Rhinolophus ferrumequinum: one gene and its partners. The protein of the gene in region 1 interacts with the protein of each later gene in a pairwise test. Links are inferred from orthologs where the notes say so. Each region holds a gene or a part of one and is shown in the gene's direction. Other genes may lie near its edges.

Evidence for each region.
Region 2: the proteins of RBPMS (region 1) and POGZ interact in binary tests that used the Homo sapiens proteins (3 or more experiments, as listed by UniProt). The two-hybrid records come from large-scale screens. The link is inferred for Rhinolophus ferrumequinum from reciprocal best matches to the Homo sapiens genes RBPMS and POGZ.
Region 3: the proteins of RBPMS (region 1) and TUSC2 interact in binary tests that used the Homo sapiens proteins (3 or more experiments, as listed by UniProt). The link is inferred for Rhinolophus ferrumequinum from reciprocal best matches to the Homo sapiens genes RBPMS and TUSC2.
Region 4: the proteins of RBPMS (region 1) and EXOSC1 interact in a two-hybrid assay, tested with the Homo sapiens proteins (2 studies listed by BioGRID). The link is inferred for Rhinolophus ferrumequinum from reciprocal best matches to the Homo sapiens genes RBPMS and EXOSC1.

What each region holds. Positions count from the first base shown.
Region 1 is NC_046287.1:67,296,152-67,304,000, reverse strand, and holds the start of RBPMS (RNA-binding protein with multiple splicing), read left to right. Parts: upstream 1-4,837; 5' UTR 4,838-5,340; coding exon 5,341-5,406; intron 5,407-7,849.
Region 2 is NC_046305.1:51,432,403-51,440,335, reverse strand, and holds the start of POGZ (pogo transposable element with ZNF domain), read left to right. Parts: upstream 1-4,923; 5' UTR 4,924-5,262; intron 5,263-6,160; exon of another isoform or gene 6,161-6,301; intron 6,302-7,933. UniProt on the Homo sapiens protein: Plays a role in mitotic cell cycle progression and is involved in kinetochore assembly and mitotic sister chromatid cohesion.
Region 3 is NC_046300.1:6,269,825-6,277,088, forward strand, and holds the start of TUSC2 (tumor suppressor candidate 2), read left to right. Parts: upstream 1-4,251; 5' UTR 4,252-4,402; coding exon 4,403-4,548; intron 4,549-5,660; coding exon 5,661-5,781; intron 5,782-6,004; coding exon 6,005-6,070; 3' UTR 6,071-7,264. Other genes in the region: RASSF1 (ras association domain-containing protein 1), read left to right, coding at 781-885, 1,087-1,384, 1,501-1,616, 2,479-2,625. UniProt on the Homo sapiens protein: May function as a tumor suppressor, inhibiting colony formation, causing G1 arrest and ultimately inducing apoptosis in homozygous 3p21.3 120-kb region-deficient cells.
Region 4 is NC_046299.1:26,347,177-26,354,575, forward strand, and holds the start of EXOSC1 (exosome complex component CSL4), read left to right. Parts: upstream 1-4,398; 5' UTR 4,399-4,453; coding exon 4,454-4,484; intron 4,485-4,591; coding exon 4,592-4,707; intron 4,708-6,627; coding exon 6,628-6,702; intron 6,703-7,399. Other genes in the region: palmitoyltransferase ZDHHC16, read right to left, coding at 57-251, 402-644. UniProt on the Homo sapiens protein: Non-catalytic component of the RNA exosome complex which has 3'->5' exoribonuclease activity and participates in a multitude of cellular RNA processing and degradation events.

The sequences.
Region 1 (7,849 bases):
AATGGAAAGATTCCTTTTTCAGCCGATCTCATTTCCAGCCGATCTCATTTCTCTTGCACTGTATCATAAGTATCTAAAAGAAACCATTCAACCCTTTCAACATTGTATCCAAATAGCTACTTAGCCAGATCCACATGTTCATTATGTATTTTTTCTGTATCTTTCATGTAACAACAGGCTAATTTAGCTAGTTGTTCTTCTAATGTATAAATGGTGTTCCCCTTTCTCCATCCTATAATAACAATACTTTCACTCTTCTTTGATAATGTTCTTCACTAGCAGATTACTCAAAATTCTCCCAGCTTCTATCCTCCACCTGATTCCAAAGACACTGCCACTTACTTTGGGTTTCTGTGTGTCGTGCGGAGGACTCTGCTCGCTGAGCCATTTGTCTGGCGAGGTGGCCTGCGGGGTCCCTGGTTCCGCTCCCCACATAAGAATGCAGGATATGGCTAGGCCAAAAAGGAACACCCACGGAGCCACAGATAGGGGAGTCATACCGCTATAGTCTCACTGGAGGCTGGATCCACGCGACCTGCAACCTGCTGTCTGCTTCTCTGCCTGCCAACCAACAGACTGACCAACCAGTGCAGCCACAGCAGTTATATCAGTGGCTAATTGGTTAACTGGTTACAGCTGATGGTCAATTAGCCACAGCTGATGGCCATCTACTACCTGGGCCAGCACCTTTCCCGTGAGGCTGAGAGCCTGGAAACTGCTCTCTGGGACTCTGTCCCCACACTGTGACAGCAGGACCTTACCTCTAGGTACATAATTATGTTTCAGTTATCTATTGCTGTATAACAAACCAACCTAGAACTTAGTGTTTCAAAACAACAGCATTCACTTTTTTTGCTAACAATTTTGCAATTTGGGCAGGAGTCAGTGAAGACAGCTCATCTTGCTTTCATGTGGCGTCAGCTGGGGCTAAGCGATTATCCACTTCCAAGATAACTCACTCACAAGGCTGGCAATTGGTACCGGCTGTCCACTAAGAGCTCAGCTGGGGCTATAATCCTCTTCCCTGTGAGCCTGTCCATGTGGCTGCGTAGGCTTCCATGAGTACTTGGAGGGAAGTGATTGAATCTCAGAACTATTTAGGAGGTAAAGATCAGAAGACTGTCTTAAATTATGTCTTAAATGACTGGTCTTAAATTATGTCTTAAATGTACAACAATGTGAATATACTGTAAGCTACTGACTGTATACTCAAAAATGGTTCAGGTGGTCAATACTATGTTGTGTGTGTTTTTAGCCACAATTGAAAAATAATAAATAAACTCAGGGGATGATGGTGATGGCCTGGAGGTGGGTGGGGGTGGGTGAAAGAGAAAGAAATGTTATGGATGACAAAAACCAATAAAACACAGTCTCTGGCCTGAAAAACTTGTTTGGTCCAGCAGAGGATGCAGAACAGATAACAGTCACAACACATGTGGTAGACACTGCAGCTTTCTGCTGCAGTGCTAACATAGGTACAAAGACCATGCCCAAAATAGGCCTTTAATATCTGTAATGACCTGTCATTTAAGACATAATTCTAGGTTCGAATTTCTTAAAGCACACCTCAAAATGAACATAGCCAGAGAAATAGAGATGAGTAATAAAAACTATAGGTGCATACAATATTTCCCTAGCAATATAGCATGTAACCTGGTAGGCCAGAAGCAGCGTTGTAGGGTGGTGGGCAGGAAAGAAAGCAGATGTTTCTTGGTCATTAGCCCTATTTTTCTAGGATATAAAATCCCTTTGTTGTCTTACAAGTCTTAGTGCGTCTGGAAACTATTGCTACTGAGATCTCACTTTTGAAACTTTCTTTCTTTGAAGTAGTAAACAGGTCATAAAGATCATTTATATCCGAAATGAATGTACATGGCCCTCTCCCCCCCCACACTCAAACTTTCCCCATACTCACAAGATTTTATAAATAGCCAAATACACAGATTTTCATTGAGTTTTGTTGGCAACATGACTCTATTGTTCTTCCATATAAGTCTAAACCATTTCTAAAGAAAAGGGCAAAATAGGAGTACCCCTTTTACTGGCATGTTACCCCATCCCTACACACTTTTCTGAAGACACCTTGAATTTCATTCACCATTGACTATATAGTTTAGGTCTCCCTGCTTTGTTGTCAACTGCATGTGTCAGTTGACTGGCTCAGTTGTGGTTTGGGGCCCTCGTGCTGAGTCGTGTGATTTTATTTTTTATTTCTTGAAATCTCATCGATTGTCCTTTTCTGCACAGGCTGTCGTCTATCTAGGGTCTCCTCTCTGCAAAATAATGACTAATGACCACTCCATGAATCTGCCTCATGCCCCATGTGATGGCTCTCCATGCCTCCACTAATTCAGTCCCTCCTGCCAGGTCTTGGAAGGATCTGATAATGTCATTTAAGCCTCAGAATCAAAACTGATAAAACAATGTCTTCATTCATTCACAAATCATTGTTGAGTGCCTACTATGCATTAGGCAGTATCTAGATGTTGGGATCACAACAATGAACAAGTTAGACAAGGATCCTCTCATGGAACTTATTCTTGTTTTTTTTTTTTTGTTTTTTTTTTTTTTAATCTCAGAGGTGTTTGACTTTTAACAATGGACAAAATGCCAGCTTGGCTTAAAGACAAAGGAAACAGGTTCTACATTTGGAATTAAGCCACATTTCCCTGGGTGGGGGTAGGGAAGGTTCGCCCAGCATCCTGGAATCATACTTCTTCCACTGACTTATAAGAGAAGTCGGACTGGAATCATCAAGGACTAGATCAACTGTCCTTTTTCTTGGGCCCTTGCCAGGCTCCAGCAAGACAATACCTTTTTGTGCAGTGTATTCAGTTAACAGGCAAGAAAGGCCAAGGAGAGTAGAGCTAGCATTAGAGGTCAGCACAGGGGCCCAAGACCACCCCTCGCCAATGCTCGGGAAGACATTGCCCCCTCGTGGTTCCTCACACAACCCAGTGAGGAACTGGAGGTGGAAACAGTTGTCCAGGTAACTTCAATTTCAATTTCAATAGACTCTGGGTTCATTTTCACCCAGGATACACACTGTCTCCCCTATAGAAGGAAATGACATCACGACAGCAATTAAATCTCTTTATCAAAATCTTCAGACTCCCCTCATCACCAGGAAAAATCCGCTATGTAAATCCAAGTATCACTGCTGTTTTTCTCTTCCGAATGCTCTTAAAGCGGTATTTGCTTTGCTTTCCGCAATTTGAACCGGGATCTGTGATTATGTTGCCAGTGGAGTTGTTTTGGATATCCTGTCGCCACAACACCACTTTACACTCCCTGACAGCGGGAGCCTTATCTTCAATTCCCACCACCACCCTCACCCCATAGCCAGCAGCACTTAAAACGGTATAAGGGTAAAGAATGTCTAGTAGGGGTGGGGAGGGGGGAGAGATGACCAGTGGAGCAAGCAAATAATTAGAAATTGTGTTTGGTGCTGTGCTGGAAAGGAACAGCATGCTGGGAAAGAAAATTCCTGGAGGTAGGAAGTGAGGGAGAATCTACTGATGTATGGAGTTTTAAACGTAGGTGTTTGTAGTAGTCAAGTTTGAAAGCTTAAATGATACAGTATTGGAAAAGCTCTCTATGGCGCAAGAAAAATGGAAATGTCCTTAATAAGAATGTTAGCTTCCATGTGTCACACACTTAAAGTGGGTAAGAATGGGTGCTAGGTGCTATCGCTCTATCAAACTATAATCTGCTCTAATGGCAAACTCCTGGGAGATAAATATAACTACTCCCTTTTCACAGGTTCGAGGAAAGGATGCCACATGGTCCGTCCGAGGTTGGTGCCTGAACAAGCTTCGTGCGCTGACCTCCCGGAATGCTGAGTCTCTTTTAAGCAGCAGCTTTGACACTCTACAGATCAGCTCTGTTGGCCCCCGGTTCGGCTTGCAGTGAGGGGGAACATTCCCTTAGCCAACAAATATTTATCGAGTGTCTACTATATACCAGGTGGCGTATTTATAAAGCTGTGGGATTAAAAAGATAAACAGGGCACGGTCTTGTCTTCCAGGGAGGAGCTCTCAAAAGAGTCAGAAAGGCAGCCAGGTAAACATTAATTCCAGAACAGTCTGATAAGGGCTGTGACAAGAGTCTGAACTGAACAGGGGCCCGGGGGAGCCTCGCGGAGAGTAACGGCGGCGGCCGGTTCGGGGGATCGGGGGTGGGGATCGCGGTGGGAAAGGTTTTGGAGGACCCCGCGTGTGAAGTGGGCTTGAAGTTGTGCCCTGAAAACGGCGGCCCGGCTCAGGCTGCCCCCGGATGTCACTCCAGTTCTCGCATCCTGTCATTTCCAGCTGCGGACTAGGAAGGGAAGAAATAGGTGTAAACCGGTGTAGGGGTGCAAATCCCTCGTGAGAATCCCACAAACAAAAGTAGCACATCACACCTAGCGGTGGTCACACTGGCAGAGGGCCTGTCTCCTCGAAGCCCCGCTCCAAGTTCGCGAGCACCGCCACGCCAGTTCGCCAACTCCGTCCCCACACTGCCACCAGGGTAACTCGGAAGACCTGACCTTCCCTCCTTCCGCGCGGCCCTCTCCCTCGGACCTACAGCGGAGCCGGAGGCTGGGGTCTGCCGCTTCCGCCCGTGCTCCCCCCCCCCCCGCCCCGGGGCGCACGCCTTTGGGCCGCGGGGCAGCTGCCCCCGGCACAGCCCCTCCTCCCGCGGGGGCTTCGCGGTTCGCGTCTTGTCCCTCTCGGCGACAGCCTGCAGCCCACGTCCAGGGAGGGCGGAGGGAGGAGGGGGAGGGAAGAGGGGAGGGAGGAAGGCGAAAGAAAGGGCGCAGCTTGGTTGCTGGACTTCCCAGAGTGAACCAGGAGCGCGCACTCAGCCGCTCTCCGCGTCCCAGCGTCCCAGCCGCGGCCCGCGCCCCTCTGTCCCACTCCTCCTCCTCCTCCGCCGCCGCCGCCTTTCTGGGCGCCTCTCGCCCCCTCCCTTCAGCAGCGGCTAGGCTTGGGCTGCGGTCGCCCCCAACCCCTAGTCGGCCACATCCCCAACTCTCTGGGGTCACTCCTGGGACGCGCGTCCTCGCCCCATCCTTTCTTCCTTCCTTCCTTCCCCTTGCGCCCGCCCTCGCTCTCCAGGTCTCCGGCCCGGGTCCCGATTGTCTCCGGCCCCTACTCAGCCCGCGCCTCGCCCTGCCGGGTCTCTTTCTTGCACTTCCTGAGTCGCCCGCCGCCGCAGTCGCGCCGCGCCCGGGAGCCCGAACTCGAGACGCCGCTGCCCAGGCTCCAACCCGCCGCGCCCGGGGAAGGGAAAAGTGGGCGAGCGCGCCCTCGCCCAGCCCCGCGCCCCAGCCCTGCCCGGCGAGGGAGGACCGGGAAGATGAACAACGGCGTCAAAGCCGAGAAGGAGAACACCCCGAACGAGGCCAACCTTCAGGAGGAAGAGGTACTGATGGCTCGGTGCGGTGGCGGGTACGACCTGGGACGCTAACCGCGCCGGCTTTCTCCGAAGTGCGGGCGGCGGGCGGGGAGAGGCTGGCGGGATGCGGGCACTGGTCCCGGGGCACCACAGTCCAGGGGGTGGGAATTGCCGCAGACTGTGGTCCCGGGAGAGTGTATCTTCGAAGAGTGTGTTTTTGTGGGTGCGTGCCTAACATTGCGTAACTTTGAGGACTTTTCGGAAACTTTTGTAAGTATAATGCTCAGCTTTGTTTGCCCGAGATTTTAAAAGCGGAATCGAGACTGACTCCTGGGTGACCTCAGATTATTGGGACCCGGAGTATCAGGACTTAGTTCTGCGTCCGGCCCTGGAAGTTGTGGGGTGTGTTTGTGTGTGTGGTTTAAGGAAGAAGTCGGGGAAAGTTCGTCTTAAAAGATACCTTCTATTCCCTGCCCCCTCCCTTTCAGCGTTGAAAGTTCTTGGTGAAATATCTTTCCAGCTGAGGCATTTTGGATTAATAGATAACTGCTCAGCCGCATTCTTCTCTGATGAGTCAAAGACCCCGAACCTGGGTGATTAGGTTTTGTAAATGTGGGGGCGATGCGGTTGTGGGGAGCAGAGTTTAAAACTTTACAATTAACCAAATTATCCTCGAGGCAATTTTAATAGGACTTTGACTTCCGAGCGTAAATTTTATGTGGTGGGTCCCTAATAACGATAAAAATGTTGGGGCTGCCGAGCTTTCCTTTGGTGTAAACAGAATTCAGTCAGTGTAGGAGGGAAGTCCTGAACACATGTTTCAGAATCTGTAGTTAGGATATTTATCGTATCCTATAAAAGGGCTCTTTTCCTACAGGTACATGATCTGGAGTCCAAGAAACAATGTTTTTCGCCTACTTTTTTTAGATCCGACCTAGTGGAGTTCTTAAACATGCTAAAAAGAACTTTAGAATGTGTGTAAATGCAGAAAGTATGCATCTAGGTATGACCTATAAAGCATTCTTACAGGTATATCATCCTATATATAAGGCTAACAGAATGGTAAACGGATTCTAAAGTGGTTAGGATATTGAGATTATTATTGAGATAATGTTATGTGCAAACTGAAATTCTGATAGTGAAACCAAATTTTGTGGAGGATTTGATTAGTACATATAAGCCCTTAGCCCATTGTCCACTTGTAACTGGGGAAGTAAAGGAGAGAACTAAAACCACGCAAAATTAACACAAAATTTTACTCTTAACATGGATGTAGGGTAGTGCAACCTAGGTGAATTGCAGTAAGCCAAAAATTGCCTTCTCACATGAGGAAACTGCCTATTTTATTATAAACTATTATTTTGAAAAGCGTTGCTTACATGCTTGTTGTGTTGAACTACAAGTGAAGGAATACTGTTGACATTTCCTTCTTTTTCAAAGAGGGGACTTGAATTGCAAGTTCTACTTTTTTCTTGAACCTCGCTGGCTTCTTTGCTATTTATTTTTCCTGCCACTAAAATAAAATTTAAAAAATGATGACAAGTTTGCCTTTTTTTGTGAATCGCTATATTTAACAAATTCACAGAACACACCAAGGTAATAATTGCTTCAGAAGCTTTTCTATTTAAGGTAGGTTGGCAATCTGTGTACTTCAAAGGGTAAGAACATATTGTATGAAATCAGCTTTTTCTCTTCACCCAATTAAGAAAACTTGTAAATGTAAAACATTAATCAGGCAAAGTAAAGGTTTCTTTCTTTTTTTTTTCTTTTGGTAGGTAGCAAAAGAGGTTTGAGTGTCCCCAAACCATAACCTACTTAACTTGATAAAATTAAATAAAGTCACATTTTTCTGCTTAACCTTTCTCAGCCTAACTACTGCCAGTACTGAGGTGTTGTTTGCCCTGTTTCTGGTCATCTTAATGTGTGAGGTTGTGTCCAAGTAGAATCACAGGTGACCTCAGTATAGTCACTCCCTCTTACCTGTCCTGTTGTCATTACAGTGTTCCTTTTTAGGTGGGAACGGCTTGTGGCTCTAGGAAGTGTCAGTAGCTTTAGCAAGACACTTGCTATTTTAAAAACAGGTTAGGAAGATTTCAGAACCTAAGTTGTACAAAAGGTGGAGTGCGTAAAACAGATACACTATAAAGACAGAGGGTTTGTAATGTTAAAAATTCAGGAAAAGAAAGTCAGTTGGCCTGAATAATCCAGGTAATTTTGCACAAGTTCCCTGTTTTGGATTTATGTTTTGGTTTTGGAAAACTCCGAACCTCTTTTGTCTAACTCTGGAAGCCACAGGTAAAATAAATATGGTTTTTAGTGAGTCTCATTAATGTGCTCAGCATTATACAAAACCACCACACTGGACCCTTTTCCTGCCCACCCAACGATCGGCAATTTGTCCTCAAACACATCTAAAAGTCTTGGCTGAGGACTCCAGTAAACAGCACACAGACATATAAAATATATACAC
Region 2 (7,933 bases), on another chromosome or scaffold:
TCCCGGATGAATGAAGGTTAAATGATTTTAAATCGGTGAGTTTTGGCTCTTTCACATTTTCAGATTTTATTACCCATATGTTTCAGGCAATAGTAAAGACATTAAAAATGAATCCTTGAGTGTTTTAGGAGATGGGCTCCTTGCTACTTCTCAATCCTACTGTACGTGCTCAACAATAAGAGACCCAAAAGGATCTGACCACTGCTCTACACCAGAAACCTTTAAAACTTATTCTGGAGGATACTTCCGTCTTCTTACCTGTAAAATAATATTAATCCTTATGTCCTTCAAAAGAATGAACCGGGAAGTTATTTAATATCCACAGTTGTGGTCTGGAAATTATCCAGGACTATAATAAAATACAAACACTGCTAAATTAGAAAAGCATGTATCCTAGAGAAAAAAAAGAATTTTAATTAAATTTTACTTTGCAATCTATTATAATGAACAAGCCACATAACAAGTGTGTCTGTAAAGGAAGCCAATTCCTTTTTCCATGAAGCTGTATGGAATCAATTCAATTACTTTATAATCATACCTGCTCAACTCCACAGCAACAACCTAGATATATAGCTTTGCTAATGGGTGTCTCTTTGATAATATTAATTTAATTCAAAGTTTAACTAAATCATTATCTCCCATGAAATCATACCAAAACTTACAGAGAAATCTTGATGACTGATGCAGTTGCTGCTCCTGTGTTTCTTGCAAAATATATTTTGAAGACGGAGACCTTCAATTGCTTCTTACTGAAGTCTCATGGGGAACTCTTCTTTTAAATACCCAGTCTGAAAGTTCCTCTGGCTATTTCTCACCTCCTGAGAATTTTCTGAGCCCCTAGAAAAGTCCTCAACTCCTCTAAACATAAGGAGGCAGCAAATGATTTACTTAAATAAAATCCAGCAGTAGTCCCCGAATTCCCCGTTGTTTATTTGACACCTGGTCAAACACAGATCTTCACCTGCCCTTTATTTCATGACAGTTTCCCTGCTAAGCAAGGCATTTCGGAGTCCTCCTTTCCACCCCTATGTGTTGATTTCTCTTGACTCCCAGGCTCAGTGCAATCTGCTGTCAACCTTTTTGAGCTGGGAGATGCTCAGATAGTGAAGATTTCGCCACTGTTTTTCTAGCTCTGAGGTCTTCCCAAATGAGTAGCTCCCTTTGAGCGCCTGGTTTCGACGACCCTGAGTGTGTGTTGTAGGGAACAGGATGCTGGTTTGTAAAGGAAACTTGGCATTCTCTCCCATGGAGCTGTTTTCTGCCTGGACTGACCTCACAATCCTCACAATCAGGTGACCACCCTGACACCTACCTGTCAACTTGACACTGAATCTGAGCAATCAGTGGTTGGGTCTGTATATTAGCAAAATGACAGCAGAGGGCCCCCATGGTTCACTGCTTTTGAAGACATGCTGAAATAATTTGTCTTTCTGCCTTGACACTCTCCAAGCTACAGGTGGTTCCAATTTTCAACTCGTGGCAGAAACCATAAGCCAAGGAAGCAAATAAGTGTTTCCATAAACGGTAGAAAAGAAATACTCTCCTGCTACCTACCTGTGAGATGCCCAACTTGGTACTTCCATTAACTTTTGACCTTCTTTCTAAGAAACTCATAAGGAGAGGATTCAATTTTTCTAAGTTGGCTACTGAAGACTGGGGTAGCTTTTCAGCAGCAGTATGGGGTTCCATTTCTTCAATAGGCCAGTCTGGATTGGCTTTCAGAGTCCTCCCCATTATGTTATAGAGGCGCACGCGAATGGATTTCTAAGGATTCCATCCAGGTCGTTGGTTCTGCTGCTTTGGTTTCCCATGAGTACCAAGATGGTTCAAACATAAGAGCGATCACAGCTATCAGTTCTGTTACTTCACTCTAGAAACTTGTGTGTTAGCTGAAGACAGGAACATGTCCCAGCTCTGTCCAAATTAATATGGGCATTCCCTCCTTAGCATGGGGAATACGTTTCTGGAAATGGGAACGCTTAGAGATGGTGCTCCAGTGTGCAAGGTGATAGAGTTTTCTTCACATCCTCTGAAGTTATACATGACTCTGCCCCAGCCATTCGACGATTGATAAGTCCTCCCAGACTGGAGCACAGTTGGGGGACGTTTTATAATGTCAAAGAGTTTACTCCATTCCCTGATTGTTCACCTTTACCCTGTTTCCCCAAACTTGTTCCTCAAAGGTATCTCCAGTCCCTGCAAAACTCCCATGTTAACATTCAGCACAATATTCTTTCTTTATTTCTTTGTGGCAGGCATAGCACCATCACTCACACACACTTTGTTAGCCATTACATGTCAAAACTGTCTCTCAGGGCACAAACTACATCATAGAAAAACGGGTCACAGAGTAGTAAGTCCCCAGCTCCCACCCTGGTCCAGGCCACCAACGTGTCTCACCTGCATTATTGTACTTGCCTCCCAACCTGGCTCTCTGTGGCTATCCTTGCCCCTACCAGTTTTTCTCTAGAAGCAGCGAGAATGATCCTTTAAAAGTGTTAGCCAGGTCATGTCAGTTCTCCGCTCAAAATCTTCCAATGGCTTCACTTCACTAAGAGTAAAACCTGAACTTGGTTTCACTTTCTTTAGATCTGTGCTCAAATGTCACCTTAATGACGAAGCCTCCTCCAACCACCCCACATAAAAATAACAATTTCCCCATCCCCTTCTTCAAAATCCCAATTCCCCCTATCCTGCCCTGTTCCCCATCTACAGCATCTATCATCACATCACATTTACATATTTATTTACAGAATGTGTGGCAGATCACTTTTTCCAAGATGGCCACAACAAGATTTCCCATTCCACACACTTTTCTGACCATGTGATGTTTCTACCACTCCCTTTGAGAGATGTTCCCCACCTGCCTTGAATTGGGGTGAGCCTGTAACTGTGGTGGAAATGATGTTATGTGACCTCTGAGGTTAGGTCACAAAAAAACCATGCAATCTCTGCTGGGTCCTCTCGGACCACACAATCTAGGAACTCAGCCACTATGACATGAGGAAGCCCCGGCCACAATGAGATACCAACAGCCAGCTGTTCTGGCCAACAGCTCTAGCTGCAATCCAAGCCAACAGTCATCAACTTCTAGACTTTTGAGGAAGCTTTTGAGATGACTTCAGCCCCAGCTACTGCCTGAGACTCCAAGTGAGAACTGCTTAGCTTAGCCTAATCATCTCCCAGAGCCATGAGAAATAATAATAAAATTGTTTTAGTTCTAAGCCAGTAAGTTTTGGAGCCATTTATTATCTAACAATAGATATCGGAACACTTTGTTTCTGTGTTGGTGCAAAGGTAATTGCGGTTTTTGCAATTATTTTTAACCTTGTAAACCGCAATTACTTTTGCACCCGCCTAGTATATTGTATGCCTCTCCTCACTAGAGGATGTTTCATGAGTTTAGGGATTTTGTTTGTTTTCTTTATTGCTGTATTCCCAGAACATAGAACCATACCCGGTATATAGCAAGTACTCAATAAATAATTGTTGAGTGAATGGATGCAGGATGCATTTTCAGTATGGTATGTGAAAGGTTATTGGTCAACAGTGTGTGGTCCAGTCTGTTGGGCTAGGCCTCATTGGCAGAGAGCGTAAGTTGGCACTTACAGCGTGGCAAAATATATGTTCCAACAAGACTACTTCAGAGGCAAATTACATTATAATAAGTTACAATAATTATTGCAGGAAAGCATAGAATGGGATTAGAGCTTCATGTAGAATTTGTCTTCTGCTGATTGATTCCATAATCTTACCCTAGGCTTCTCCAGATCAGGTCTGGAAAGGCTTCAGAAGTATTTTCAAAAGGATTAGTGCTTCTTTCCCTTCAGATAATGAAGTTCTTCTGAGAATGACCACGGAAAATCACTCACGTTTTTGGTATGAAATGGGATGAAGTGGAATAAGAACGGATGGTGGTATGGGAACTCATGTACATGGGTGTGCAATGTGGAAGGCCCCCTTACACTGCTTATTTTCCTAGTCTGGTGGTTTGAGTGCAGTGTGTGTGTTAACAGAAGGAAGAAATATGGTTCTGGATCTCCCCAACCTCGCACCAAGTACTGGATTTAGCATTTGGATTGGAGCAAATGTTTGTGTATTGCTTAGAGAGCAACATCCTCCTCAAATAGCCAAGGAAAATATTAGCGTTTTATCATCTCGGAAGGTAAGAAAGGACACATTTTCTTAGTTTCCTGGAAAAGAGGTTAGTTTTTGTCTGGGGGAAAATAACAGGTGGATGGTCTTGAATGGACTAAGCAATTTCTTTGGGCCAACCTACCTCAGCCTTGATTGAAGCAAAAAGCACAAATGTGGAGTCTATGGTTTCTTAGAATGGAGGGTCTTAGCTGAGTCTATTCACAATGGTTTCAAAGCAGTTTTCACACAAGAATCACCCTGATAAGCAATCATGTGTGGCTTCTTTTCAGAATCCAGAAGGGTTCAGGGTAAAATGGCTTTTAAAAGTTCTTCACTTCTGGCTACTACCATAAGGCTAATTGATTGAATCTCTTGAGGAAGTGTGCCATTTTGCTGCCTTTGTTCAAATGACAGTTGTTGGTGCCATTGGGCCTCACCATCTGGCCTGTGGCATGAGGTTCCCTTCTTGATTAGGTACAAGCCTTGGGTAGAAAGTGGGGAGATGCCCAAAATTTCCCTGGAAAGTCCAGGCAAGTGAATTGGGGAATATTTTCTTTGGAAATCCCATTATTCTAACCAAAATTTAGATATGGCTTCTGAAGCTAATTATTATTTCATTTAAAAAAAAAACAAACTGTTTTTATTTATTTATTTATTTGCAGGCCCAGGCAAACTTGACTAGAAAAGAAGCCCGGGCAGGGGTTAGGATGAGCCCATGACGTCCCCGGCGCCCCAACCAATTGAAAGGCCACGAAAAGGGGAGGGCGGAAGTGACGAGCCGTATCCCTCCGCGGGGCGAGAGGGTCGGTGGGGGGAGTCGGCGTCTCTCTCCCCCGCGCCAGCTCCCGTACACGGAGCCGCATTCCTTGGCCCCCCCACCCCCCTCCCTCGGGGCCCCCCGCCCCCCTCGGGAAAAAAAAACCACCTCAAATCACTCGAACCCGAGGGAGGTTTCCTTGCACCCTCAGGGAGACGAGCTTTGAACGGTCCCCTCTTTCCCTTCTTCCCCCCAAACCCCCGTTCCCTCCCCTGCTCCCACCCCCTTCTCCCGGCGCCGGGTGTAGGTCCCTTTAAGGCGACGGCGCCTTCCTCGGGTCAGACTACCGGCGGCGACGACCACGGGAGGTGAGTGAGCGAGAGCGCCTTCTCTCTCCCCACCCCCTTCTCCCGGGGGTTCCGTTATCTTTTCGCTCGGCGAGGCGTTCCGAGGCGAGACAATGAGAGGGGGATGGGGCGGCTACGCGAGGGGTGGGGGCGGGGGCCGGTAGCGCGCGCCCCCGCCCCCCTGTGAGTGGCGGCGCGGCCCGCGGCGGCGGGCGTGGGGTGCGGCGCGCGAGCGCGTGTGTGAGTGCGTGTGCCCCGCGAGCCGCGAGAGCCGCGCGGCGGACCGGGCCGCGGAGGCCCCTGCCTGCCTGCCTGCCGGCGCCCCCGCCCCCCGGCGCCCGCCGCGGCGCGCGCGCGCGCACTCGCGCCCCACGGCCCCGCACACACCCGACGTCCACACGCACGCCCGGCGCGAGGCGTCTCGGAGGAGTGGGCGGGCGCGGGCGCGGGCGGCTACCCGCTGGGGAAGGGGCGGGGGCGCTGGCGGCGGCGAGACGGCGGGGCGCGGCGGGAGGGCCGGGCCAGGGGGCGAGGCCGCGCCGGGGAGGCGGGCGGGAGGGGCGGCGGGGTGACGTCCCCGGGGTGGGGGAGTGCTCGGCCCCCCGCGCCCCCCGCACCCCGGGGAAGGAGTGGGGCGCTCTTTTTGAGCGCGAGGAGGAAAAGGAGTGATGGCTTAGCTGCTCCCCTGTGTTATGTAATCTCCACTCGGTCCGATAGTACATCCCAAGTCTTAGTTCACTGCAGTTACTTTCCCCAGTCTCCTCCCCCGGCCCCCAAATTTCTTTGGGATGGCGCCGTGATTTATAAAATGGGATGAGGCGGAAAAAAAATCTATTTTCCGATTATTATATCCTGCCGCGGTGGGCGCCATGTTTATTCTAGGGACTATTTTCTCTGGATTCTTAGCACCTATTGAAAAGGAGTGATGTTGATCCACCTGCTTTCCCTCCTTTCTGCGAGTTGTCCTGGTGTCTTCTCCCGTTAGACGCGGGATTCCCTCCAACTGTTGATGACACGTTTCTCTGCTCACTAGTCGTGGACATTCTTTGCTCAGAAAAAGGTAGAGCTGAAGAGCCTTGTAAATCATTGAGCCCAGTCTCATTTTTGAGGTGGAAATGGAGGTACCAAATTGAGGTGGTACAATCTCAGAATAGCCTTCTACCCTATGTAGACACCTCCCCCCGGAGCTCAAAACCCCACGTAACATACCAGCTATGTTGAAGGTGTATCTCAAACTAAAGGAGCTAACAAGGATGATTCTTAGCATGAACAGAATGGAGTTTTACTCTCAGGAATTTTCACACCTAGATGCAGGGGAAAGGAGGGGCTACAGAGGGCTGTTTCTTGGTGAAGGACGTTGAATTTCAAGACATACTGCTCTTCGGTCTGGAGGTTGGACTTTGAATTCGAACCACTTAGCACAAAAGTTAATTTCGGGGTGCATAAAAAGTACCTTAGAGATTGCCAAAAAGTGCAATTTTGGGGACCGCATCCCCAAGTCTGTTTGGGTGTGATGGGGAGGGAGGTGTCACCTCTACATTTTTAATCGGCCCTCCTTCAGCTGAGACTGATTAACGTAACTACCACATAGAGAACTATTGGTGTAGCATAAAGGTACTCAAAATAGAATCTTTAAACAGAATTAAATTGCAATCTGTGCCCTTGATTTCCTGCCCCTTTCCTATATTATGGTTATAACATACCAGCTATGTTGGGGGTGTGTCTCAAAACTAAATAAACTAAGGAATGAAGACTCTTGAACAGGATTTTGGTAGTGTTTCCATTCTCAAACTAAAGGAACTAACAAGGATGATTCTTATACCACCTTGAACCAGTGGTATAATTTAGGAAAGCGGTTCTCAAAGTGTCCACTGACACCTGGGGACCCCCTCATACCCTTTCAGGGGAGCTGTGAGGACATAACAATTTTTAGAATGACACTAAGACACTATTTTCTTCGCTGACGTTTGCACTCGTGGTCCAAAAGCAACTGGCGGTGCCTTAGCATAAAGCAAAGAAGTGGTGTGAAACTTGTACTTACTTGAGAATGTCCTTGATGAAGCAGTAAAAATGATTAATTTTATTAAATCTCAGCACTCGAGTACATCTTTTTAATTTTTTAAGAATCTATGATAAATTGGGAAGTGCGGGGTTGGAAAATTAAGTTTGCGAACTTGTTGCAACAAGGTGGCTAACCTTTTTTTGATATCAGAAGGATCATTCATTATGAATTTTACACAAAAAGCACTTATACTGCCTTCCAGGGTATGATCGTTGACTTGTGAGCTGAATGTTTCATGGAACAGCATTTTTACTTGAAAGAACGATTGACAAGCTAGTTTTTTACACTTGAGTGCGTGACGGATGTTTTCTTGAAAAATTAATGAAGTGAGCTTGTTACTTCCAGGAAAACAGTTGACAGTATTTGTTACCAATGATAAAAATTTGAGGGTGAAAATTAGAATTCTTTAAAAGTTGACATCTCAAGTTTGACAGTTTCCCAGTATTTAAAACTTTTCTTATAACAGCAACGTGAATGACTGTTTTTTTTAATTATTGTATAATGATGCATGTCAACATTTGGAAGATGGGCATAGCTCAGTAAATATGTATTTTCCAAATGACCTGTGCATGATGTTTCAGAATCACCATGGGTAAAAAATCCTTTGAAAATGCAGGATACACCAATGGA
Region 3 (7,264 bases), on another chromosome or scaffold:
ATTGAACATCCAGACGGCAGGGAGGACGTGCAGAAGCTACCTGCTTGGCTTGTGGGACAGGCTCTACCAGGAGGCTGCTTGTGCATCTCAGGCGGATTGGTACCTGGCCTGATGCTACATTTTGTGCAGCTCGGGTCAAGATCAAATGACATGGCACAGTGGTTTCCTCACTATGTCTGAGACATGCATGGCTGGCGCCAAGTCCTCCACCCAGGGGTGTTAATGTGGTAGAGATTGCCCTTCCCCTCCTGCCCACGGGTGGCTGGGCCGCTGGTGTATACCAATCTTCATACCTCTCACCCTGTAGTGGGTTGTGGCCCTTTGCCAGGGTAGAGTGGCAAAGTGGGCTGCCTTCTCCAGGACAACACCCTGACCCCACCTAACTAAAGTGCTGGCATCAGGCTGTGCAGTTGAGAGGTAGTTTTACTGTAAACAAGAGTCCTTCCTCAGCATCCGCCATCTTTTCCTGGCCCCTGATCTTGTGCCTTCTTTTGCCTTGGTTTTAAGGTATTCTTAGGGCCTCACCTGGAGGAGGCCCCGCCAGGGGGCTGAGAGAAGCCAAATGATTCTGCCTTTGCGTCCTCTATCTGTAGCATGCAGATCTAGGAGCAGTGATGAGTTTTCCTCATCAGGCCTCGAGCTTTCTTGTCAGTTTCCAAAGGCTGCCCCAGAGGCTGTTTTCAGCGTGGCCCACCAACGGCTCACCTCTCTGCCCGTGACATGCATGGCAGCGGGATGGGTTCCTTACGGGCCCTGTATCCATGCTGGCCCATCTTTCAGGACGAAGCTGTGGAGTGGGAGACCCCTGACCTTTCTCAGGCTGAGACTGAGCAGAAGATCAAGGAGTACAATGGCCAGGTCAACAGCAACCTCTTCATGAGCTTGGTGAGTTGACAGCCCAGGCAGGGGGTGGGGAGAGGCAGGAACCCCAGTTGTGTGCCTGATGTCCAGAGGGTCACAGCTGAGGTATTCTTGGGGGGCCCAAGCAGTGATTTATTCACACCCAGCCTAGCCCCAAGTGGACCGGCGGTACCCAAATCTGTTCCCTCTCACCAGGAACCTTGTCATGGTTTGGTTTCTCTTTAGAACAAGGACGGCTCCTACACAGGCTTCATTAAGGTTCAACTGAAGTTGGTGCGCCCTGTCTCAGTACCCTCCAGCAAGAAGCCACCCACCCTGCAGGATGCCCGGCGGGGCCCAGGGCGGGGCACAGCTGTGAGGCGCCGCACCTCCTTCTACCTGCCCAAGGATGCGGTCAAGCACCTCCATGTGTTGTCACGCACGCGGGCACGAGAGGTCATCGAGGCTTTGCTGCGCAAGTTCTTGGTGGTGGATGACCCCCGCAAGTTTGCGCTCTTTGAGCGAGCTGAGCGTCATGGCCAAGGTGGGCTTCCCACCCCACCCCACCCCACCGTGTGTGAGGGTATATATGCATGCAGCTGTGTATGAAGGGGCTGGGCCTGACTAATCATACACTTCCTTTCCCCTCCCGGCCTGCAGTGTACCTCCGGAAGCTGTCAGATGATGAGCAACCCCTGCGGCTGCGGCTCCTTGCAGGGCCCAGTGAGAAGACCCTAAGCTTTGTCCTGAAGGAGAATGACTCTGGGGAAGTGAATGTGAGTACACAGCCCTCCTTTGTTTCTTGGTTGTCACTGGGCAGGGCTGGTGGGTTGCAGCTACAGTAAGTCTCGGAGGACGAATAGGGCTGGAGGACAAGCCCTGCGAAGCCTCTGCAGGACTGTGTGAGTCTTGTGGCTAATGTGAAGGTTTCTTAGCCACTCGTGTCAAGGTCTAGGGCCTCTTCCAAGAAGCCAGGAAGTATCTTAGTGCTCTGCAACTTTCCTGTTGTGGAAAGTTCTTAGGAGATGCAGGAGTCCATCTGATGGTATGGTGATCCCAGTTTAAATCAAAGCTACACAAGTGAGGCGGCCAGTTAGCTCATCTGGTTAGAGTGCGGTGCTCTTACCAAGGTTGCTGGTTTGATCCCCACATGGGCCACTGTGAGCTGCGCCCTCCACAACTAAATGGAAATAACTACTTGACTGGGAACTGATGGGTGCTGGAAAAACACACTTAAATAAATAAAAGTTTAAAAAAAAAAACAAAAAAAAGCTACACAAGTGGACCCAGGATGTCATGGAGGGTCCCCTTCAGGCATTAGGACTTTTCAACTGGAAGTTTTCTGGCTCAAAGGTATTGGGTCTGTGGAGTGGGATTAGACTCAAAGTATAGGCATGACCTGTCCACGGGTAACTGGGAACATCTGGTTTGGTTGCCTGTCCACGAGACAACTGCCCTACTTTGTAGGACCCATCTTCCATAGAGACTTGGTGGGAATCCTAGCACAGACCAGTCAGGCAAGAACCTGACATTAGAAAGCCCCATCCTAGCTGTGTGACGATGCTCTGGTCTTCTCTGAGGAGGGCCTGCTAGCTTAACTATGCCTGCTGCAGCTAGTGTCACCCCTCTCCCCTGCAGTGGGATGCCTTCAGCATGCCTGAGCTACACAACTTCCTGCGCATCCTGCAGCGGGAGGAAGAGGAACACCTCCGCCAGATCCTGAAGAAGTACTCTTACTGCCGCCAGAAGATCCAGGAGGCCCTGCACGCCTGCCCCTTAGGATGACCTCTTGTTACCCCTAGGTGGAAGGGGGAGAGTAGGCAGCACCAAGGGCATGCTGTGTGAGTGTGACAGGGCCATGTGGCCTGAGGAGTGAGTGTGCGTGGAAGCCCTCTCTTGCTGGGGGAATGAGCCCAGAAAACAGTGAAGGAACTGGTTCCCTGTGTCCACCGGTGGGTGTAGCAGAGCATGGCTCTGTCCCCTTTTGCCCTTCATGTTGTGGGTCATGGTGGGCCAGGGTTGCCCTGGGAAGCTGCTCTAGGCTTGCAGCAAGGGAAGAGCAGACAGAAGTTTCCTTAATTGGTGTCTCAGATACAAGAATCTTGGAGACCCTACCACCAGGGTCGTGTTTACAGCGATGAGGGTCCTCCTCTTTGGGGAAAGGTTGTATGTTTTAGGTCTTCGATGGGGTCTCAGGACAGCCTAATCAGAGCCAAGGATGGGTGTTCAAGATAAGGCAGGCATCAAAGAAGTGTCTAGGTTTCCCTCTATGATGCCCTCTGACTCCACACACACCCTGGGGTCAGCCAATGCTATCTCAAGGTATAGCAACAGTGCCTCAGTGCCTTCTTCAAGGAGGATGTCCCTGGGCCAGGGTCTGTGTGAGTGTCGGCATTGGCCCAGGTCCGTGCCTTGTTTGCCAGTCAAAGCCAAGGTCTTTACTTTGGGTATTTTTGATGATGCGTGTGAATGTATGTAACATTTTGTGGTCTCAGCTGAATGCCTCCTGTGGGGAAGGGGGTGGGGGTGACAATCATCATCAGGACCTGGGCCTGAGAAAATTTGGCTGAATAAAGACGTAAGAAGCTCCCGCTGTTGGACTGTTTTATTATGGGCCCTAAGCCCCAGTTGTGCCTTATGCCAGTAGCTGCCAAGGGTGATGAACAGGCTCACAGCACCTTTTCAAGGTCACCGTGAGACCAGTTTGTGAAGGATGTGGGGTACAGACATGTACTCAGTCATCAGTCAGCACCCTGGGGCTCAGGTCTTGGTGTGGCCAAGAATATCAGCTGTAGCTAGAGATTAGGGAAACCACACACCCTGCAAGCTGTAGGAGGCGCTTCACTAAATATTTATTGAGCTACTACTGTAGACACTGCTCATGACGCTAAAGGTACACCTGTTACTTCTTGCCATCATGAAGCATACCTTCTGGTGGGTTTGCGGAGGACCCTGAGATTGAAATTCTTCAGCCTTGAATGTAAGCTATATGAAATTTGGCCAAGTCCTTCATTTTCGTTAGGTTTGGCTTCCTCCCCACACGCGACAGTAGTGATCGAAAAAACGGTATGGGAATAGAATGAGACCAGACGGGCACCGCGCAGCCTGGCCTGGGGTCAGGTCCCAAAGTGCTGGTTTGGGGGAACCCGGGTGTTTGGGCAGGCCCGCTGCACCTGACCTATGGGGGACCGGGACGTTGGAGCCGCCGCACATGCCCAGGAAGCCACTAGGAGTAGCCACTGCTTTCCTAGGTGGGAGTTACCCCAGCTGGAGAGAGCGTGGCCTGCCGGGACCTGACGTCTCCCAGTGCGTGCCGGGATGCCTAGCGTCCGAGGTCGGCTATTGGTCGCACTCAGTGGACCGACGAGAGGAGCAGCCAATCAGAAAGAGTGGCATGCGGAGCGTACGGAAGCGGAAATGAAGTTTCCGTGGAGACAGCGGAGCCTGCGGAAGACGGCGGCATCGGCACCTGCGAGCGGAGGCCCAGGCTGGGCATGGCGGCGCCGACGGCCCTGTGAGAACGAAGCGGCCGCGGGGTCCGCCATGCGCCGGCGCCCCTGACATGGGCGCCAGCGGCTCCAAAGCTCGGGGCCTGTGGCCCTTCGCCTCGGCGGCGGGGGGTGGCGGCCCGGAGGCGGCGGTCTCTGAGCAAGCTTTGGTGCGTCCGCGAGGCCGAGTCGTGCCCCCCTTCGTATTCACGCGCCGCGGGTAAGGGCGCGGGCTCCGCCCGGGGGAGGACAAGCGGGCGGCCAGGCGCCCCACATGATGGGTAGCTCCCACCGCTGTATTCCCTGTACCCGAGCTAGGGTGACTCCCATATTTCGGGCCTTCATTGGAGCCAAGGGATGGGAAAAGCCGGGCAGTCGGTTCCCGGCGGCCTGGCTGCTGTTAAGGTGTCCCTAGAAGAAGAATGGGCCTGTAGCTTGTCCCTGGGCAAGTAGCTTTACGCATGGCAAACCTAAGGGCCTCTTGGGACGTCAGGATGGCTTCCTTTCATCCCTTCAGCCTAGCCTGCAAGTTAACGGCTCCTGGCCTCCCTCCTAATCTTGAGGGGAGAATGACCCTTTGTTTTGGCTGCTTCGGTCACCCACAGTGGTGAGGTTGGACCTCTGAGGGTAGGGACCAGGAAAGTAGGACTGGGCCCTGGCGTTGGGGATGGGGCCCAGGAAAAAAAAGACCCTCACACAGGTATGTTCTCCAGATCTGGAGCACTGACTTCCCTTCTCTCCCCAGGGGTCCAGACAGGAGCACTAGTTTGACCTGGCCCTGATCATCCCCTGGGGACTGGCACTTAGGTGATGCTAGAGATTTGGCTGTAAATACTAGGGAGACCCAACAGTGGCAGTTTGGCTGCACCAGCCACCAGGGCGTGGATGGGAAGGATGCAACCTTATTTTCTTCAGGCTCCCTCCTAGCTCAGTCATGTGCTATCTCAGGCTTCGGCCCTGGGCCAGCAGTGTCTTCTGGAGAGAGACCAACATGCTCAGGTCGCCATCCTGCCCGCTCTAGAAGTCCTTGCCTGAAGTTGGAGTGGCTGTTCTTCCTGGACAGACCAGTGATGAGAACTGGCCTTGGCTGCCTGAAATAACCTCCATTCTTGGGGTCTGAGAGAGTAGCACTGGCCACCACCCCACTCCTCACTTCCTTTAGTAGACCCCAGACCCTAAGCAAGAGATTCCGCAGGAATATTATCTTCCCTTTCTCCCACCAAGGTTGTCCCTCCCCATTTGGGGGTGGGCACACTTCGCAGTGGTCTGGGGCATTTGCCATAAGCAGGTATGAGGCTCCAGCCCAGCCTGTTCCCCTCTCCTTCTGTACAGCTCCATGTTCTACGACGAGGATGGGGATCTGGCTCACGAATTCTATGAGGAGACAATCATCACCAAGAACGGGCAGAAGCGGGCCAAGCTGAGGCGGGTGCATAAGAACCTGATTCCTCAGGTGAGGGACTGGGCACTGGTCATAAAGCCTGTGTTGAGTGTGTGGAGGTATGTGACAGGAGACATGGGGAGTCTCCTGTCTCCTCCATGTGGAGGAGTGTGACAGGAGACATGGGGTCTGCTGTCATGGTGGGGGGTCGTGGGGGAGGAGCTGGGAGGAACAGGAAGGCTTCCTGGAGTAGGGGCGCTGAGATGGCCTTCACTAGCCTCTGTTTCCATGGCAGGGCATCGTGAAGCTGGATCCCCCCCGCATCCACGTGGATTTCCCTGTGATCCTCTATGAGGTGTGAGCCTGGGGGGTGGCAGGCATAAGCACCCCCTGTCTCAGCAAGAAACCCCAGGCTCAAGGTGTGGCTTCCGTTGAACCTAGGCTGAAGCCACACCCTAAATAGACTCCATTGGCCCGGAACCTACAGCTGTAAGCGGGGAAGTTGGGTGCTCTGCATTGTTGGTTTGGGTGCTGGTTTGTATGCTGACAAGTGGCTGGTGGCTGGCAAGGGCTAAGAGCAGAGTTACCAGCCCACCTTGCCCAGCAGTCCCTACAAGGAGCATGGCAGGGCATATGCTGATGGGGAATGCCTGGTTCCTGTGCCCTTGCCTGACCTGCTTTCTTCAAGCTTGCCTAGGGCCCAGCCCTGCTAGAGGCTCCAGCACTTTACAAGTAAGGTCTGCCTTCTTCCAGCCCCTGGGCTGTGGGAGCTGTAGACAAGTGGGAACTTCCTTTCCCTCACTTCCTTCACCCCTTCGTTGGAGCATTTCAGCCGTTTGCTACCTCGATTCCTCCTCTGTTGGGCAGAGGCTGGGGGCACCGCAAGCCTGATTCTTCCTGCCTACCTGCCCATGTATTTCCACCCCCAGATGGATGGACAGTTTGTTGGCTGTTAATAAGAGTGGGGACTGGTGTGGGAGGTTTCTCCCCCCACCCAGGACTGGGTTGATCCCACTGCAACTAGTTGTTGTCCCTTATTGTCACCCTCCCCCCCCACCCCCCAGTTGAGAGGGCATAGGATGGGCTCAGGAAGGGCTAAGGATGCTTGTGCCTATGGGGAGTTGCCCCAACCACCTACTCCATCTAATCCCCCTTGCCTTTGCTCCAGCCCTCTCCCCCATTGGGAGGAGACCATCCGCCACCCTGTGGTGAGGGACAGCACCCTAGGGCTGGTGCCAGTAGCTCTGAGGAGCCCACCACCCCTTCCCCTATAGTATGCCCGTCCCTTCAGGATCAGTCAAGGGAAAGTACCAGTCCCTGGGTCAAGACAGAAAGGAGAGAACAACCATAAAGGAATACTTAAAATGTGAACGTTTGTAAATAGTCTAGTTCATGATGTTGGGGCAGAATCTGATTTCTACATAGAAATGACTTTTTTTTTTTTTTTTTTTTTTTTTTTAATTCCTTACTGTGCAAGCTCTGTGCTTCAAGAGTGGAAAATCGTATGGGGAGGGTGGCCCCCAATCTAGGAAGGCTGTTGTGTTATTTGTTCAGT
Region 4 (7,399 bases), on another chromosome or scaffold:
GACTGGCTCCCAGGGCCTGCAGCCCTTTCCCTGCCCCAGCCCCTGTGGGGACCCACCTGGGGTGGATATCCAGGTGGAGTGGTGATGGCCTGGTAGTAATGGAAGACGATGAGGATCAGATTCCAGTGACTATAGAAGAAATGCCAGCAGAGCCGTGGCACTGAGTAGGTGCGGAGGATGAGGGGCAGGATACACAGGTAGGCGATGGCCACAATGGAGCTGGTCAGCACGATCACCAGCACCACGAACACCTGCCAATACCAGGGAGGGGGGAGATGCAGGGAGAGCCTGCCAACACCCAGAGCAACTCAGGATGTCCCTGCAGTGGGGGCTGCTGCGGGTCCCTCAGACACAGGTCCCTCTGCCGCCCCCAAACAGGCCTCTTCCGGAGCGTCACTCACCACTCCACACCAGCGGATCACGTTGTCCACCAGCCAGTAGATGGGCTCAAAGGCAGCATCGACAGCGGTGTCGCTGCCCCCGAAGGAGTTGTAGAGCAGGGAGCGCAGGCAGACCTTGCCATAGCGCCAGCGCCGCACCAGGTCCCGGAGCAGAGGGGGACAGCGGCGCCGGGAGCCCAGTAGCAGAAGCAGGCGCAGGCAGAGGCGGGCGGGGCCCAGCAGCAGGCTCCGCTGGCCCTGCATGGCTCCTAGGAGAGCACACCATTGTGGGTGGCCAGCCTGGGTGCCGTCCCTCCCTATTCCACCGATGGGGAGAGCCTGAGCACCAGCTTAGAGGCAAAGACCTCAGACTGAGGCCTGGCTGGGCCAGTCACCAGCTGTGGGAAGTAGGACAGTCACTTCACCTCTCTACGGAATGTATGGTGCCAGTGTCCCAACCAGATGACAGGGAGTAGGGTGTGCAGGTTCTGAGCAGGCAGAAATCATACTTACATTACACCGTGTGGTTGCACAGCAAATCCCAGACAGTGCACACCTAGAGTAAAGGGCCACAATAAACAGGCGAAGGACAGGTAGGCAGCTCCAAGCCAAAGCAGGGTCTCTGGAGTTGTCTGTGTAGACGGCCCACTGGGTGGAGTACAGCCAATGTACACAACACTGCCCCCTGTGTCTCTGTGGGTATGGCCAGTGCAGCAGGGGTTTCCCAGGGCCCTCACCTGTCCCGGCCCTTCGACCTACTTCCTAACAATTGCTCTTCGTTCAGGAACAGCGTGGGGGAAAGGGGGCGCTACACAGCGTGTGGACCCTGCACTTCACTCTTCCCTGGTACTGAGTCTTGGCAAAATATACTCATCCTTCCTACTCTCTCTGGGCTGACATTACAGACCCAACCTGGTAGTATGTCCTGTCAGGACAGCTCAACTACGCCTCGCACGACGTAAGATGCTTTGTCTCAATTCCATTCCTAGCCCTACCCCAAGGCTACAGAAGCCAAGACAACTTTGGGTATTCATAGCAGAATAACACCACTGACAGGAAAATACTGGTGGTAGGGGAAGTGGCGGGGGGAGGAGGACTCCATGCTGGTGGCTCATGAAAACCACAAGGCCTGCCCTTGCAGTTGAGTCGCCCCCACCCTGTTCTAGCTACACTCAAGAGCCGCCTCTGCCGCTGCTGCTCTTGGCCCCAAGCTTCCCAACCAGCCTTCCCAGCTCTTTAGCCCTTTGTATGGCTCCTCTGCAAGTGCCTTCATCTCTTCCATGTGGTTTCTACCTCAGCCAACAGCCGTGGGAGGCCAGTGCCCAGGCAATGCCCACAAGAGAAGACAGATTCCTTCCATGACTGTCTCCTCATTCTGCAGATTAAAGTCCTTACTAGAAAAGAACTCATCTGATTTTCCCCTACGAAGAGTACTGTCCTCAGCAACTCCACTGACTTATTTAACAGGCAGCTCAAAACCCAGCAGAAACTGGAGGAGGCGGCTGCACTGTAGGATGGTTTCAGTGCAGTAACTGGAGCAAAGTACTCGCCTTGCATCCTGGCTCATCACCACAAGAGGCCTTTCAAAGACAGTTAATTACCTCCTTCCACAAACCCTGTAACGACCTAAGGGAAAAAGAAATCCAGCAGACAAGGCCAGCAGAGAAAGAGAAGAAAGGCAATTCAGTAGGGACCTACTCTCTACACGAGGATAAAGAAACTGGCCATTCCCATATCACCTCCTAGGGGCTAGAGAATTAAGAAGCAATGAAGAAGATGGAAAATGAAAACTCAATCTTCCTACCTCCTTTGAGTTAGGACTCCTATTGTTTGGAACCATGATTTGGCTGAAAATATGAATTTTTGAAATAGTATATATGGCCACCATAATCAAATGTTTAAAAGTGGGACAAAATATTTTACACCACAACAAGTCCAAATGACTTAGATTGTCCCTTACTATGGCTAATGGCGAGTTTCCTATTTGCTAAATACTTTTTATAGCAATAGCTTGCAAATAAGATATATCCCTCACCTACAATAAACACGAATTATATGTCATCTCTTCTGTCTACAAAAAAAAACAAAAAAAATTTCCTCCTCAGATTCTCCACTCTTTGGATTGTTTTCAATCATCTCCAGAATCTTCACAGGAAATGCCTGCCTCAAGGACTAGACTTACCAACTCTCGCCTGCCCCATAACTTGACTTAGGGTTCACTTCTGCCCTTAAGTGGTTCTGTGACCTTGGACAAATCACCAAATCCTGCTGGAACTCAATTTCCTTGTGTTACCATTCAGTGAGCAGATAGAAGTAAACGCTAAGGTCCCTTCCAAGTCTAACCCTTTATGATTCCATATACACACTTGGTAACGTATAAATGAAATGTTCGTAAAGAGCTTAGCATGATACCCGGCTCATGGGCATGCTCAATAAATACTTGTTGAATGAATGACCTGGGATGCAGAAGTGGACAGGCTTGTCAGATGTCTACCTGTCCTATAAATAACAGCAAGGGCATTCCTGCCAATGTGATAACATTAAATAAGTGTCTGCTGCTATTAGTCTTCATTTTTAGAATCATAGCACTTAAGAGCTAGAAGGCATTTTAGAAAACAAGTCTATCCAACTAAAAATCAACCCAAACATGTAAACTTGTAGATGTAGAGCTACATATCAGATTTGAATGAATAAAGTCTCAAGCCAAGCCCCCCACTCATTTTAGTTAGTGGGGTTTGGGGAAGCCAGGGAAGAGATATGTATTGTAGTCCACGGGGTCACAACTGAACATACGGAGTTTTCATCTCAGGAAACTCAGTTAAAGCAGAACTTGACAAATTGTGAAGGGGATGGTGAGGGGTGGATGACCAGAGTGACCAGGGAAGGAAAAAGAGCAAAGCACAGCTTCACTATCACCCCAAGTACAAGCCCTGAGCACTCTGACCCCTCAGTAGTAACCACAGGCCATAGGGACATCTGCCACCAGATTAGAGGGGATTGCAGGCCATGGCGCACTCCTCTTCTCAAGGCTCTAAGTCACCATCTGTTTCCCAAGGGGAAATGGGATTGGAGGATGGCGGCTTACACAGGGAAAAACAGATTCCAAAGCCACCAGACGGCAGAGGAAACTGATGAAAGCCGTGACACCTCTCATCTGGACAAAGATGCTGCGCTCAGGACGTTTGCAATCTCCAGCAGTACTGTCAACCATCAGTAACAGCAACACTTTATTCATGTGCAGACTTCCCTTTCGGACTAACACGCTGGGATGAGAAAAAGTTAAGGAATGGCCCACACGACTCTTGAAAGGATACGACTGTAAGATCGGAAACTGCAGTTACAAAAACCGGGGCATGGTTTTATTTCTCAATGAGGGTGGTATGGTTAAAGTGTGATGGACTGGAAGTCAAAAAATGTGGGTTCCGGTTTGTGCTCTACCTTAAACTATCTTCGAGACACTGGATAATTCAAATCCTATTTCTGGATCTAAGTTTGTAAATCTGTGAAATGGGCGACGTGGGCTGGTCGGCCTTTCAACTTGGCGCGTTACGGCTGCCCGGAGGGCACGAAAAGGGCACGGACGTGCAGGGCTAGGCGAGGAGACAGCAGGAAGCCGGGCTCACGATAAGGCCCCGGAACAGGGCCCGACCCTAGAAAAAGGGACAGGACTGGGGAGCAAAGGCCGCGGCTTCGCTCTTACCTGCCGCCTGCCGACTCCCCAATCAGCCAAATCCAGCCCGCAGCCTCTGCTCACTGCCACCCCCTCCAGCTCCGCGCCCCAGGACAGCCCGGCTCAATCCAATCAACCATGGCCCGCCGCCCACAGAGCCAGCCTGCGGACCCGGACCCGCCGCCAGACCATCCTCAACCACAAGCGCAAGCGCACGCGTTCCCGGAGCTCCTCCCCCGGACTCGGCCCGGGACGATCTGGGAAATGTAGTTCACCCCTCGAGAAGGCCTTCCCGGAGATCACGTGACAAGAGCACCAATTGGTGCGTTTCTTACTGAGGAACTGGATTTGGGCCAATGAGAAGTCGGCTTCGTTTCTCTCGGGGTTTGGGGCAGCGATAGTCATGGCGCCACCCGTGAGGTACTGCATCCCCGGTAAGTGAGGGGTGCCCATTGTGAATCTTGGATAGGGACAGAGGAAGGAAGGCTGGATGGCCAACAGATTCTGGGCACACGTGGCTGATGCAGCGTTTTTTCTGCAGGCGAACGGCTCTGTAACTTGGAGGAGGCCAGCCCAGGCAGCGGCACCTACACCCGGCACGGCTACATCTTTTCGTCGCTTGCTGGCTGCATGACGAAAAGCAGCGAGAATGGCGCGGTAAAGGCGGCTTCCCACCTCCTCTGTCTCTGCTTTTCCCTTAGGTTGCCCTTGATTTCGCAGTCCTTATGCAGCGGCTCCGCGGACGCGTCTTTAGAGCTTCACCAGTAGAAGAGTTGGTCTCTAAGTTTCTTCCAGCTGTGGTCCCTGCTGCTGGACACTTAGCGCAGCCCAGTTAGTTGTGTTGGTCACTCTTGGTTGTGTTCCTGACACTCAGGAGAGGAAGTTGAGGGAAGAGCAGAGGTGGGCGCAGCCCTGCCGTGAGCTGCTGAATCCTGCCCGAATGTCACCTACCTATCTGGCTTCATCCATATTCCCACCTCACTGCAATCTAGTCTAGTCAGTCATAGAGGCTTCTTTCAGTGTCGCTAACGCACTAAGCTCTCTCCTGCCACAGAACCTTTATAGGAACGCCATCTGTCTGGAACACGCTCCTCTCTCCTCCTTAGCCTATTTAATCCCTACCTATCTTTCAGATAGCCTCTCTAAGTCTCACTTTCTCAGAGGAGCCCTCCTAGACTTCCCTGCTTAGGACACCTGTCCACTAGCTGAGGAAAGGAGTTTTGGTTTTTGTTTACTGTGTGTTTTGTTAAACACAAAGAATTGTATTCCTTTCCTTCCAAGCACTTATCTCAGCATATAATTAAACACTCAGTTCCCCATTAGACTTTTCTCCTACTAAACTCAAGATCCATGAAAGCAGGCCTTACCACCATAACTCAGAGAGTACCACAAGGTAACTGTTCAATAAACATTTGTCGAGTGCGTTAGTAAAACTATCCTTGTGCTGGAGGCTGGTCTAGGATTAACTCAAGATCAGATAAGCAGACTTCGAAGGAACAGCTTAAAGACAGGTAACATAGTAGAAAGAGGATTCAGAATTAGAACACTCTTAGGTGCTGGCTAACTAAACCTTGATTCTACTTTATGTAAGAAACAAACTCTCTGGGTTTCCGTTGTTCCTCATCTGTAAAATGAGAGGCTTTTTATTCAGTCAATTTTGGGAATGTCCTTGACCTTCCTCAGTTTGTTCATTTCATAGATACAGGTATCTGTTGAGCATGTTCATGTGCCACTCTCAGTAGTGACCTCTAAGGGGATGGTAATGAGCCAAATATACATGATCTCTGCTGTCAAGGGGCACAGGTAAATTGTAAACAAATAAGTGTTCAAATGCGATGACTGCTTTAAAAGAATACGACAGGATACCATGAGAACGTCATCATAAGCAAACCCACCCTAGTCACTGGAAGTGACATTTAACCAGAATCTAAAGAATACGTAAGAGTTGGGTGGGTGGGAGGACTTAGTACTGGCGGAAAGAACAGGTTGAACAGACATCCTGAGATGGAAAGAAACTTAGTGAGTTGATGAAACTGAAAGAAGGCCAGGAGAGCTGAAGCATAGTGAACAAGGACGAGATTAATAAAAGATGAGGTTCAGAAATACTATCTATCTTATTCCAATAGTCAATGCCGTGCTCAAAGAGAAAACTACAAGTATTCCCTTAAACTAGAAGTAAACAAGTATGGCCACTATTACATAACATTTATTTAGAAATTCTAGCCTATACAATAAAATGAGAAACAGAAAGAAGCGGTATACCTGGAGAAAAGAGTCAAATTTATCCACGATTATAGGCCATATAATTATGTACCAATAAATTCCAAGAAAATCACCAAAAACTTGTTAGAACTAATCTGAAATGGTTACATTATATCTTTTAGCGGCATTCTTCCTGTGGCCCCTTGGCCTTCCTATTTCCTAAAATGTCTAGGCTTCTGCTCTAGGCTACAAATGTATCTGTATTCCACCTGCCCTCATGACTTCAACTAAGGAATTTCTATATTATTCTCAAGCCACGAATACCTTTACCCAAGGCTTAGCCAGGATACTCACATTTTATTGTTTTCTTTGTAGCTTCCTGTCGTGTCTGTAATGAGAGAAACAGAGTCCCAGTTACTGCCAGATGTCGGGACTATTGTAACCTGTAAGGTAGGTTAGTCCTAACTTCCCTGCTTAGGGCACCTGTCCAATGCTGAAATCATGATCTGTGTAGAACTGCCCTGTTCAATATGGTAGCCACTAGCCACATATGGCCATTTAAATTTAAGTAAATTAAAATTTTAAATTTATTTATCAGTTCCACTAGCTACATTTCAAGTGCTTACTAGCCACAGGTGGTTAGTGACTGCCATATTGATCAACATAGAACATTTCTATCATCACAGAAAGTTTTACTGGACTGTGCTGGTCTAGAGATTTCTAGGATAATGATCAAGGCAGCCAAGTCAGGCTTGCGTAGTTCTTTCACAGAGCTGGTTCCCTGAGTACATATATATTTTTTACCTGTGTCTGGGAACTAGGGGTACCAAAGGGTGGTGGAGGCCTATTTTTGAACTTCTGAAGTGGGACCTTTTTCTGCAGAGAAGCAAGAGACTTGAATACTGTAGCGTTCCTATTAAATGTAAAGTCTTTTAGGATGTTTCATGGGAAGTACAAATTAATACTGTAATGATCAGTAACTATAATATATCATCCTACCCTCTACCAAGTTAAATTAACTTGGAGCTCTCAGTTTATTTCTTTATACATTGCTCCAGCAGAAAATCTATGTGTAATTCTGAAAATAACTAGAGAGGCAGTAATCCAGATGTTATTGCAGCAGCTGAAATGTACACTTAAATTCCAT